Saccharomyces cerevisiae S288C: one gene and its partner. The gene in region 2 interacts genetically with the main gene of each other region. Each region holds a gene or a part of one and is shown on either strand. Other genes may lie near its edges.

The links. Genes that interact genetically often act in the same process or in processes that back each other up.
Region 1: of SLI1 (region 2) and ATF1, changing one suppresses a phenotype caused by changing the other (phenotypic suppression), as found in Saccharomyces cerevisiae (one study listed by BioGRID).

Annotation. Positions count from the first base shown.
Region 1 is NC_001147.6:1,044,521-1,049,385, reverse strand, and holds ATF1 (alcohol O-acetyltransferase), read right to left. Parts: upstream 3,161-4,865; coding exon 1,583-3,160; downstream 1-1,582. Other genes in the region: YOR376W-A (uncharacterized protein), read right to left, coding at 4,035-4,190. UniProt on the Saccharomyces cerevisiae protein: Major alcohol O-acetyltransferase that uses acetyl-CoA to synthesize acetate esters from various alcohols, producing ethyl acetate, isoamyl acetate, isobutyl acetate, butyl acetate, hexyl acetate, heptyl acetate and octyl acetate.
Region 2 is NC_001139.9:914,044-920,028, reverse strand, and holds SLI1 (N-acetyltransferase), read right to left. Parts: upstream 2,990-5,985; coding exon 1,583-2,989; downstream 1-1,582. Other genes in the region: RTA1 (Rta1p), read left to right, coding at 564-1,517; zinc finger-containing protein ZPR1, read right to left, coding at 3,328-4,788; YGR210C (uncharacterized protein), read left to right, coding at 5,291-5,985. UniProt on the Saccharomyces cerevisiae protein: Confers resistance to the sphingolipid biosynthesis inhibitor drug myriocin (ISP-1). Inactivates ISP-1 by converting it into N-acetyl-myriocin. Cooperates with YPK1 in mediating resistance to myriocin.

The sequences.
Region 1 (4,865 bases), on a different chromosome or scaffold from region 2:
CCCTTGGTATTTAAAACTGCTGCCAAATCTCGTTTATTTTAATCCCTACCGATAGCTCATCATTGAGAGCTTCCGCAATATCCGCACATTTCGTGGAGCGCTTCACGTGAAAAGAGTGGCCCATTGAAAAAAAAGCTGAAACATTCGTAGCGACAACCCTGGCGACAAGCGTGGCGACAACCGCAATAGCCGCCACAGCCGCAATAGCTACACATCACCTTTTTGGGCTTAAAGTGGTAGGTAATTTTGCTTGGCGCGGTTACCTACCACTCTAAGCCGCAACAACAGAACACGTATGGAAAGCTTGCCGCAATTGTCATCGTTCTGGCTAGTTCATTCAACGTTTTAGGTTTCCACCCCGTTACATTTGCACGTTCAGCGTAATGAGCGTGGGTACTCGATGATTGTCGTTTGTTAAGGCTAATCTAGTTGAAAAAGAAACGCGTGAAAAATGTTATTGAAGTTTCTTATCCAATTAAGATTTCAGCTTTTCAGCTTTTTTTCTAGGCGCTCACTTGGTTCCATACCATTCTTTTCAAAAAGTCTGCCATGTAATTATACGAATACTGTGAATCTTTTATGATAGCATGCTCCTATTATAGATGTGATCGATGTCTGTGTGCTTCTGGGCTTACAAACGAGGATATGCACACAAGGTTCCAAATTGCCGAAGCTGCAAAGAAGCAAGCAGGCTCCTGAAGCACCGAATCAAGATCAAATCATTGTAGCGACTTATTTTAGATGAACTTTGGAAAGCGGCGTCTATAAAAGTATAAAAAAATACAGCAAGAAACCTTTTTAAAATCTACTAGCAAAGAGAGAAAGGAAATGACTACATTAGGTGCGATATCAATAATATCGAATTGATGAAATATGAAAATAAAATTTTATGCCTGGGGAAAAGTTCGGTAACATCAAATCAGTGCTTTATTTGAGTATCTTCCGCCTGTAATTCCTCACATAAAAAAAAAAAGCTTTTTACACCTCCTTATGCCCATGCGCCCACGCATTTGTTTGTAGCTTTGCATTGGCCTTGTTGGTCTAGTGGTGTAGGCGCCCTTCAAAAGTTGCGTTTCTTGGGTGGGAGAAGTCCGAAAAATGCGTATCCGAGTGTACAACGGTTTTTTTTCAGGGACAATATGCCAAGGAATACCGTAAGCAACGGCTGCGCTAATACATCCATTAAAAATATCTCTCCTTGCTTAAGGTCTCACACCCAAAATGACAATGAGAGTGCTATTTTAGTTGTTCATCAATTTAGTATATACCAGCTCCCACAGGACGACGATTCTGACCCTTTCTATTTAAATAGCTCCTTACATCGAGAAGATCTCTGCAGCTAATCAAATCAATTAATATTTCAGATTTGTCGCGATTTTGAAATATATACTATAGGTTGTTATCTATCATATGCAATGTTCTGCACGTTATTTACTTCGATCTGATCTTAAATCAACTCTAAAAAAAGAAACCGATAAGTCCCTTTAACCAACCAAAGCCGAGGGAGTGACAACATGAAAGTGGGTTATTTACACGACATAATCATATTGTCGAATAATATCAGTCAAGCATCATGTGAGATCTAAGGGCCTAAAAGGAGAGCTTTGTAAATGGAGCAAAGCTCTTCGAGAGATTCTTGACTACCAACAACATTCTTTGTTGAAGCAACAACAATATTCATCCCCTTTACATTAGTCGAACAAACACCCAAGGAAAATGCTTGGTGCCAGGATCCTTGAAATTGGCCAAATGCCAAATCGCATATAGAATATTTGGCATCGGGCTCCTCTAACTGATTAAACAGACCTACATTGCTTAACAATGTACCTCCGCGTCTTTTCCCGATGGCACGATCGCACATTACCTTGTCAATGTTCACATATTTTTGAACGAAGCCTTGTATATTGAACCCTAAGCCATGGAGATGCTTTTTATTTCTTAAAGCTTCCGAAATTACTTCATGGTAGTGCTCAATAAGTGGCCAAAAATTTTCTTTGTTATCATTCATGTCAAATTCGCTTATCCAGGGGGTGAAGTCAATAAATCCAACGTTAGCGCCATATCTGTACATCTGTCTCATTTCATCATCATCTGGTAGTTGTGAGCGGCAATCTGCGGGGATAAAAATATCCGTAAGCCATTCGAAGTTCAATGGTTTGAAAAATTTACCCCATTTATGAAGAGATACAAACCAACAAACATGTAAAAACGGAGTGATAGTACACTTACCTTGGATATTTGATTTAATATTTGCTTTAATCGCTTGAAATTCTGTTGGTGAAATATTGATGATCTCGGTGACAACATCATCGGTTTTTTCCACATCATCCATTCTCATACAGACACCTTTTGAAGAAAATCTCAAATGATTGTAGATGAAACCCGAAAGAAGTGACTTCGGAATAAACAAGTACGGTGGTCTAAAGTCTATCACCTTTTCGATCGGTTCTGGAAGTTTCCTCAATAATTGGTAATCCTCCTCGTACTTGAAAATGTAATCTAATTTTTTTGGTGGAGTTTTAATATTATTTAATTCGTCTCTTAAATCATGAAAAAAGTGGATCGAAGACCGACCATCAGACATGCAATGATTAGATACAAAGATAAATTTTTTCCACTTTTCTGTGTGCTCTTCTGGAAGACAAATTAGCCGCCAACTCGGTCCTGTTGGTCCAAAGTAAGGAATAGTCAAAGTGGTAGTAAGTTTAAAAATTTTTGCAGTATAGGAACCCTTACTATTTTTGAATTCTTCTAATATTTGCTTCATTACTGCACTGTACTCAGGTTGTTCATTGAGAACCACACCACTCAGTTTCAATTCTTGTAATACTGAAATATAATCATGCACTGGATGTGGCCGTGAATAGTATTCGGAACTGCGATAATAATTTTCATGATTTGGCCATCTTGTTGGTAGAACAATATGTAAAAGAGTTGGATTTTTCAGGCAGATTTCCCTCAAAGCTAATGTGAGCTGATCCCTAGTACAGTAATCACTCAATTCTCCATATGTGCAGAAGTTTCGATATAAGTTTTGTCTGTTGAGAGCAACATACAGATCTTCAACAGATCCCATACGCCGAGCATGCCCATTCTGAATCATCTCTTTCAGGCATTCTTGTTGCACGGGGGCCTGATTTTTCTCATCGATTTCATTCATGAGAGCTGATAAATTGATGGTATTTGTGATACTGATGAAGTGCCGTTTTTTATTTTCTTGTCTCGAATTTTTGTTGGGTTGGCTTCAAAAAGACGCTTCCAGAGATCCATAAAAAACAATAGGATTATATTCAGAGTCCGCTCAACGCGATGACAATACCAGGCCAAAAAATGATGTGCGGCAAAAAATATAAAAACCGTAAATCGCAAGCCAATGAGTAGTCCTCACACGCTAGATCTATATATTCGGAAGTGAGAAGACCATCGAGTGCATTGAACCTTAGCTCAATGTCCAAAAAGTCAATTCTAAGGGTGGAATAGTCCTGTGCCAACAAATGAAGCTACAATTTTCTGCTGCCTGGGTCCATAAACCCTAACCTTACTTCTTTGCATTTCTTCGGTTTGCACGTGATCTCAATTGATAATTCCCAATTCTGATTTTACTTGTCAAGTACAAGTACTCTAACATAAGCTTACCACTTCTTAATTATCCGGGTGTCAGTTTATTTTATAAACACGGTAATATTTTGATAATCTTTGGCAACTTTTAGGAAATACTCCTTTACCTATATACATCGCGACCAAAATTAGCAATCTTTTACGATGAGTACCTCAGAAAATACTGTTGAATTCTTTCAAGGGGTAGCAAAACTGTCCAGAGCTTATATCTACCTGTGCTCAAAATACAGTTGAAACCACCTCTTCCTACAGTGGTATAACATATGAGAGAATAAGCTATTAACGGTTGGTCGTTAACACCTCAAAATTGTATATTCCTGTAGTTCACTGTCAGTAAACTGAGATTGTTTATTTGTGCCATTATACCAAATTTAGCACCCTATGTGGCAATTTTTCAGATTTGCCACGCTTTTGCTCTACTTAAATGGAATGCAACAACAAAACTTTGTTTTAGCATCGCGGGATTGAGGATGAAGAGAATACTTATGCATCTCGTCTTGAAATACTGTCGCCCAAACTTCTAAATACGCTTGATTATACCATAAAATTGTCCACCCAAGATGGAATGTCATTACAGGAATATTTATGGCTGTCCTCCTTATCTTCACATTTGAAGGGAGAAATAGAGGGGCGAAAAGAGAAACTATTCGCCGGAAACTTAACGGTAATATTATAGATGTGGGGCTTGCAGTTACCTTTTAGCACCCAACTATAAGTGTATCACACCATTATTAATGAGAAAGTCTTAACATTCCAGGAGGTACAAAATATGACAATCCTAGAAACTCTGTTTGCAGTGCAATGAGTCCAAATTTTTTTTTAACTAAGAGGATGCCTCCTTCGCAAACTGTATAGTTTTCCATTTTCTTCTGCCATTTCATCTTTGGAGTAACTATTATTTCGCCCCTTTTGTTTGCTGCATATCGCCCCGCTCTCTGCATACACGATTGGATAATGACCAAAGCAAGGTTTAATACGCCCACAGTTAGATATCTATAATTTTAGAGTACGATATTCATCATCATAGGCTGAACCTTGCCTTTCCTTGCATTCTTTATTCCCATTGAGGTATATTTTAAAATTTGTTCGGAGGTAAAGAAGGATAAGCTTTTCTAGTAATTTCCCTCCTCGATCGGCCTCAGATTTCCCGTCATAAAATATACGCGCCATGGAGAGATTTAATGACATAGATGTGCCGCAAAAGCATACACAGCGTATTTTCTTTGAGTATTTAATAGGTAAGCTAA
Region 2 (5,985 bases):
GTGAAGCGCATCCAAAAGCGGAAATATCTATCATTCAAAAAGAAAGTTTATTTTTAAGTTTAAACTTTACAAGCCACAATAAGGTATATAGGTCGTTTTGTTTTCAGACATGCATCATTGACTATTTCCTATGAATTTTGATGAATATTACTAAGATAAAAAAACACTGTAAATTGCTCATCAACTGTTTTCCTCTACAAACAAATCTACACTTGGCTGGCATGGGTGAATCGTTTAGCGTGTTCTTTTTTTTTTCGCGGCTTCTTTAGATTGCGCCTGTTAGTAAGATGCCCGCTGTCAACAATCTGCTCAATGCGGTATTCACAATGATATCTGTGATATTTCAAGCCTCACTTGCTAAAGATGAGTTCCGTGGATCTTTGGTGAAAAGAACAATAAGAGGTTGTCATATTCTTGGGAAGGGGCTTATCATGCAGCAAAAGACTTATGCGTATATATAGTTTTCATAATAAAGGGATAAGATACCTTGCCTGTTTCATTCTATAATAATAAACCCTGTAAAAGTATGTAATAGACAGTCAGCACTTTTCACCACTTCGAACATGGCAAAAGACGGCTTCGAGTTATATAGATACACTCCGGAATTAGGTGCGAGTATACTTTTTACGGTACTTTTTGCAGTATCAGGGGTAGCATTTGTAATTTTACTATTCCATTATTCTGTGAAAAGTAAAAGGAGAGTTGGCTCTCTTATGAAGTCCCAACCCGTATTGCGGTATTACGGTACGGTAAACTTAGCAGGAGCGTACATTCCCTTTATATTTGGGTGTTTTGTTGAGTGTGTGGGCTTTGCGTTTAGATGTAAATCAAGCAAAGACACCACACTACTAAACCCCTATATTATTCAAACGGTTTTCTTGCTGGTGTCTCCAACATTATATGCTGCCAGTATTTACATGATTTTTGGTAGAATGGCTACTCTGCTGTTCGCAGAAAACTTAATGATCATGCCCGCTAGATTCAATACTACAATATTTGTGATTGGCGATGTAGGCAGTCTTCTATTACAAGCAATTGGTGGTGCTATGATGTCTAAAGTGACAAGTGCATCTTCTGGTTCTCATCTCGTTACAGCTGGTTTGTTCATTCAAATTGCTTTTTTTGGTCTCTTCATTATAAATGAGGTTTTGTTCATTTTCAAGATGAGCAAAAAACCAACCAATGTATCGGTAAGGTATGGTAGTTGGAAATACCTAAACATTGCTTTATTGGTGAACAGTTTCCTGATTTTAATTAGGTCGATCGTCAGAGCTGTTGAATTTATTCAGGGTTATGACGGAGAAATTGCCTCGCACGAGTGGTATCTTTATATTTTTGATGGTTTACCAATGTTTTTACTCGTATTAATTTTTATTGTGGCGTTCCCACTAATTAACATTTTTAGAATACATGAAGAGTCTATTCAAGCGCAACAATCAGCAAGATTTGACGGCACCGACTATCCTGACGTTGAGGTGACGTCTATCGAAGAAGATCTCGCTTCAAAGAGCGAATAAACTGCTTTCTATATTTACATGTGGGAAATGTGGTTTTATTCTGTATTTGAGCTAGTGAAGTGCTGCTAGTATAAATTTAAGTAATCTTTCATATATTGCCAGTGGGGTTCTAGCACTTTAGTGAGAGTATTTGGATAACTGATACAACAATGTAGTCCGTTACCAGGAGTAGAGATTACGCTTAGTGAGAAAATTGAAGATATTCCTTGCGGCTCGTTGAATGTAGCATCCACTATATAAAACGGTAAACTGGTGTTGCATGCATCTTTAAATGTTTGAAATCCTAAGTTTGTTACTTCAAATGTGGAAGAAGGTCCGTTATTCAAGCTAATTTTATCTTCTATGTATTGTTGAGAAGAAATAACCTCCAATAACTTTACTTCGTTTACTTTATCTATTATTTTATCCTCGGAACTGCTTCTTATGGCCCTTTGAATTTGAGAAGCGATATCCCATATTCCACGGTTTTGATGTAGTTTATGGTTGAATTCTATGACCGCAATAAAATTTCCCACGGCGAGCTTATCATCTGAAGGTAATTTCAAGACTCGTTCAAAAGGCTTTCTAATATTCATTGGTAATTCAATTTTCAAAAATGATCCGGTATACTCATGTGCAGCTATTTTTTCGAAACTGGTGCAGACCAGGGCACCTAAAAGGGAAGTCAACGAAGTATTATTGGCCTTGCATTCTTGTAAAATGTCGTTGAGATGGGTCGGCGATAATCGAAACTCCCATTGATGGTTCGTGTTTTTAACTTTGTATTTTTGAGTTCCATCGCTCGGTTTATCATCCAGCAGGTCTTTTGGAAATGAGTAGTTGGCAAATTGGATTAAATTTCTATTGTTTTTTACGACTGTTTGTGGAAACCAATAATGTAGTCTACTGACCAATTGTCGCACTATATGCCAATTCCAAGGTATGGGCCAATCTCCGTATAGTGGGGCTGACATTATTTTTTCAGTTGATGAATTTAATGATGGTGAATATATTGTTTCATCAATTTCAACCGGCTGTTGCATCTGTAGGCCTTCCATAAACGTTTCCCACACATGAATAGCGGACATCCCATCCATGAGAACATGATCTGTCAGCAATAGCATTTGATTTTGATTAGGGAGGATCAGAATTTTCCATAAAGGTTTATTCTCGTTGTATGAAAAGTTATACCTTTGAAAGATGTGGTTAATTTCGGTTTCCCCTAACTGGTCCCAATCGTGGCGGTATTCTACTAGATCGCAAAATTTCAGTGGCTCAAGAATGTTTTGTAGGAAGTTTTCCTTTTTCAATTCATCATAGAATACATTACAAGTCAAACGTTCATGTTGGATTACAGTATACTTAAGAGCCGCTATCAGTTGACTTTTTTTGGGCAATTCGTTGAGTTTGATTCCGACATAAAAACATGAATGCAAATTTAGTCTGCTTCTATGGAAAAAGTAACTTTCAATAGCAGAAAGTTTAAGATTCATTCTTGCGCTTTTTCCTTTTCGTAAAAATATCTGTAGATTGTTCGTTTTGACAGCATTTATAGTTGTCCTCTTTACCTCTGCTCCGCACAAGTTGAGTTAAAAGAAAGAATATAAAGCAAAAACCTAAAAAAAAAGATATGAAGCAGGAGCCAAAAAATGCTGTATTATCTATTTCAACTATTATACAAAAGTTTAAAAATATAGGTAAATCTTCAAGACTGCGCTATCTATTTGAATAAAAACGAATAAGTATTATCATATCAAATGAGTGCTTGTGTGGTTAGGATATATGTAAAGAGGAAGAGGAAAGGGGGAGGTGATACCGAGGCCAACGATCGTTACTCAACCTTGATATCGGACAATCCCAGGTCTTCATTTTGCTCTTTAGTTCTTTCATAATCTTCGATAGTCATGTTTGGATCCGGATCTGGGGCGTAGACATTTTGTATGTACGACCCGGCCAATGGATCTTCCATAATGACTGTGAACTTGACTTTCCCAGCGATGGCCTCCTTTAGCTTGGCAAAAAATTCTACCCAGCGGGCTTTCGTTGCTTCGTCCATGGAATCCGAAGTTTGAGTGAAAATACGGGATTCTAGTTCTTCGTAGACTTGTCTTAGTAAACCTTCCAAAGTGGTGAATCTACCACCCAATGTACCTTCTTGAATATCAAGATGTAATTCAGGAATTACCATACTACAGGTCTCAGATTTCAAAATATCACGGGACAAGTCAGCTGCATCGTCACAGTATAAAGTAATCCTTCTTCCTTTGTCAGGGATGGCACCACCGGTCTTCACCTCATTAGACTTATAACCACAATGATCGCAGACCGTCGACATGATAATGACTTCTTTAAAGTGTGGGATATTTACTGGCTTCATATGAGTTTCACACTCTTGGGTACACGATGGACAAGAAGCTCTGAATGTTTGCACCTCGTTGTTAAAGTTTTCGATGTCGGTGGCGTCTGACAAAAACTGTGGGTTTGCTGAGCCAACTTTGACAGATTCAGAAGGATTTCTTTCACGGTTGGCCAATTGTTTTAATTGTTCTTGGCGACGTTGCTCCAACTGGTCTCTAGTAATAATGCCAACTTGAACGTTTTGTTCGTCGGTTCTCACGTACTGGGTATGAGACCATTTGTGTTGAGGTTCACCGGGTTTGTATTCGATCCAGGAATTTCCCGCAGGATCATCCAAAATAAATGTAATCGGAATAGTGTTGGGTTCACAATTGATGTAGGATTTAACTTTCTGTATGAAGTCATCGATCTTCTTGTAAAGAGCTTCGTCTATAGATTTTCTCATTTCCTGGTCTTGCGACAGATCGTCGATCATCTCGGATAACAAACCTTCAACTGTCGTCAATTGACCTCTCTTAGCAGGAATCTCAATGTCTAGCTCGACAAACTTACAAGTGGCAGTTTCTGACTTAATAACTTGCCTGTTAAAATCTTCACGGCACTCCACTTTCAAAACGTAACGAGAGCCCTTCTCTTGAATTTGAGAAGCGGGTTGGATCTCACAGTTCTTAAACCCACAGTGAGGACAGTCGAATGACATAATAATTATTTCTCTGAAATAAGGGATGGAAGTCAGAAGAAGTCTGGTTGTACCGTTCTTTCCACAATTCATACAAAGAGACTCTATCTCTTGCACTGGATGGCCCATGGCGTCCTGTGCGCCGGTTAACTTGACGCCGTCATTAGCTTTGTTCTGTTCGGCTATGCTTTCATCTTCGACCTCTGCAGCAGCTTCTCCTACTGGTTTAAACAAATCTTCCTTTTGTTCGCTCATTATTTTCTATCCTATTTCTTAACGGTATAGGTATAATATGTATCTCTGTGTATATATGCGACTAGCTATTGCTAACGATGCGAACCTACCCGATAACGCTATGATTTCCTTTGCGTTGAACATCATAGCATTATAAATGTGCATCTCATCGCTGAAAAATTTTCGTCAACTATAAACTTTTAGGATATTCTAGCCCTGATGGGGCTAGAATATTCTAGAAAACTCCAGAGGGTTTCGGCACAATTTATTGTAGGGTTAGTAAGGGCTTTTTTATCAAGGTGAAAAATTCACTCGATGCCTTTTTTTTTTTTTCTCGAATAGATAGATATGCAAGAAATGTAATGCTATGCAGTGCAAAACAGATGTGTAAGTGTTCTAGGATGAATTGTAATGAGAGTTGGTTTTATTTTCATTTTGCGTTTTCGTTTTCCGTCTTTTAGCTTTTGTCCAACTAACTTGTAGTATAAGCTGTCTGTAAGAATAAAACGGAAATAGAGCCAGTATGCCCAGGGATCCATTGATTGGTATTGTGGGTAAGCCATCTTCAGGGAAATCCACCACATTAAATTCTTTGACGGACGCAGGTGCGGCGGTAGGAGCATTTCCCTTTACCACGATCGAGCCAAATCAGGCAACCGGCTACTTGCAAGTTGAGTGTGCTTGCTCCAGATTTGGCAAGGAAGATCTTTGTAAACCTAACTACGGGTGGTGTAGCAAGGGTAAGAGGCATATCCCCATCAAACTGTTGGATGTGGCAGGGCTTGTGCCTGGAGCGCATTCCGGCAGAGGGCTTGGAAATAAATTCTTGGATGATTTAAGACACGCAGATGCTCTTATTCATGTGGTGGACGTTAGTGGAACCACAGATGCAGAGGGGAAGAACACAAGAGGATATGATCCATTGAACGATATAGAATGGCTGCAAGACGAAATCAGGCTTTGGGTTGAGGGGAACCTGAAGAAAAGATGGGGGTCTATTGTGCGTAAACATACAGCAACGAAATCTAGCATAGTGGACACACTTCAAGCGCAATTCGGTGGGTACGGTTCACATGCGCCCATGATCCAAAAAGCCCTGGACAGGTTGAAGGGACTACCACCTTTGGAAAAATGGGATGACGAATGGATCACTCGAGTGGTCAAGTCCTTTATGATGGAGAAATTTCCAACTGTGTTGGCACTCAACAAGATTGACCA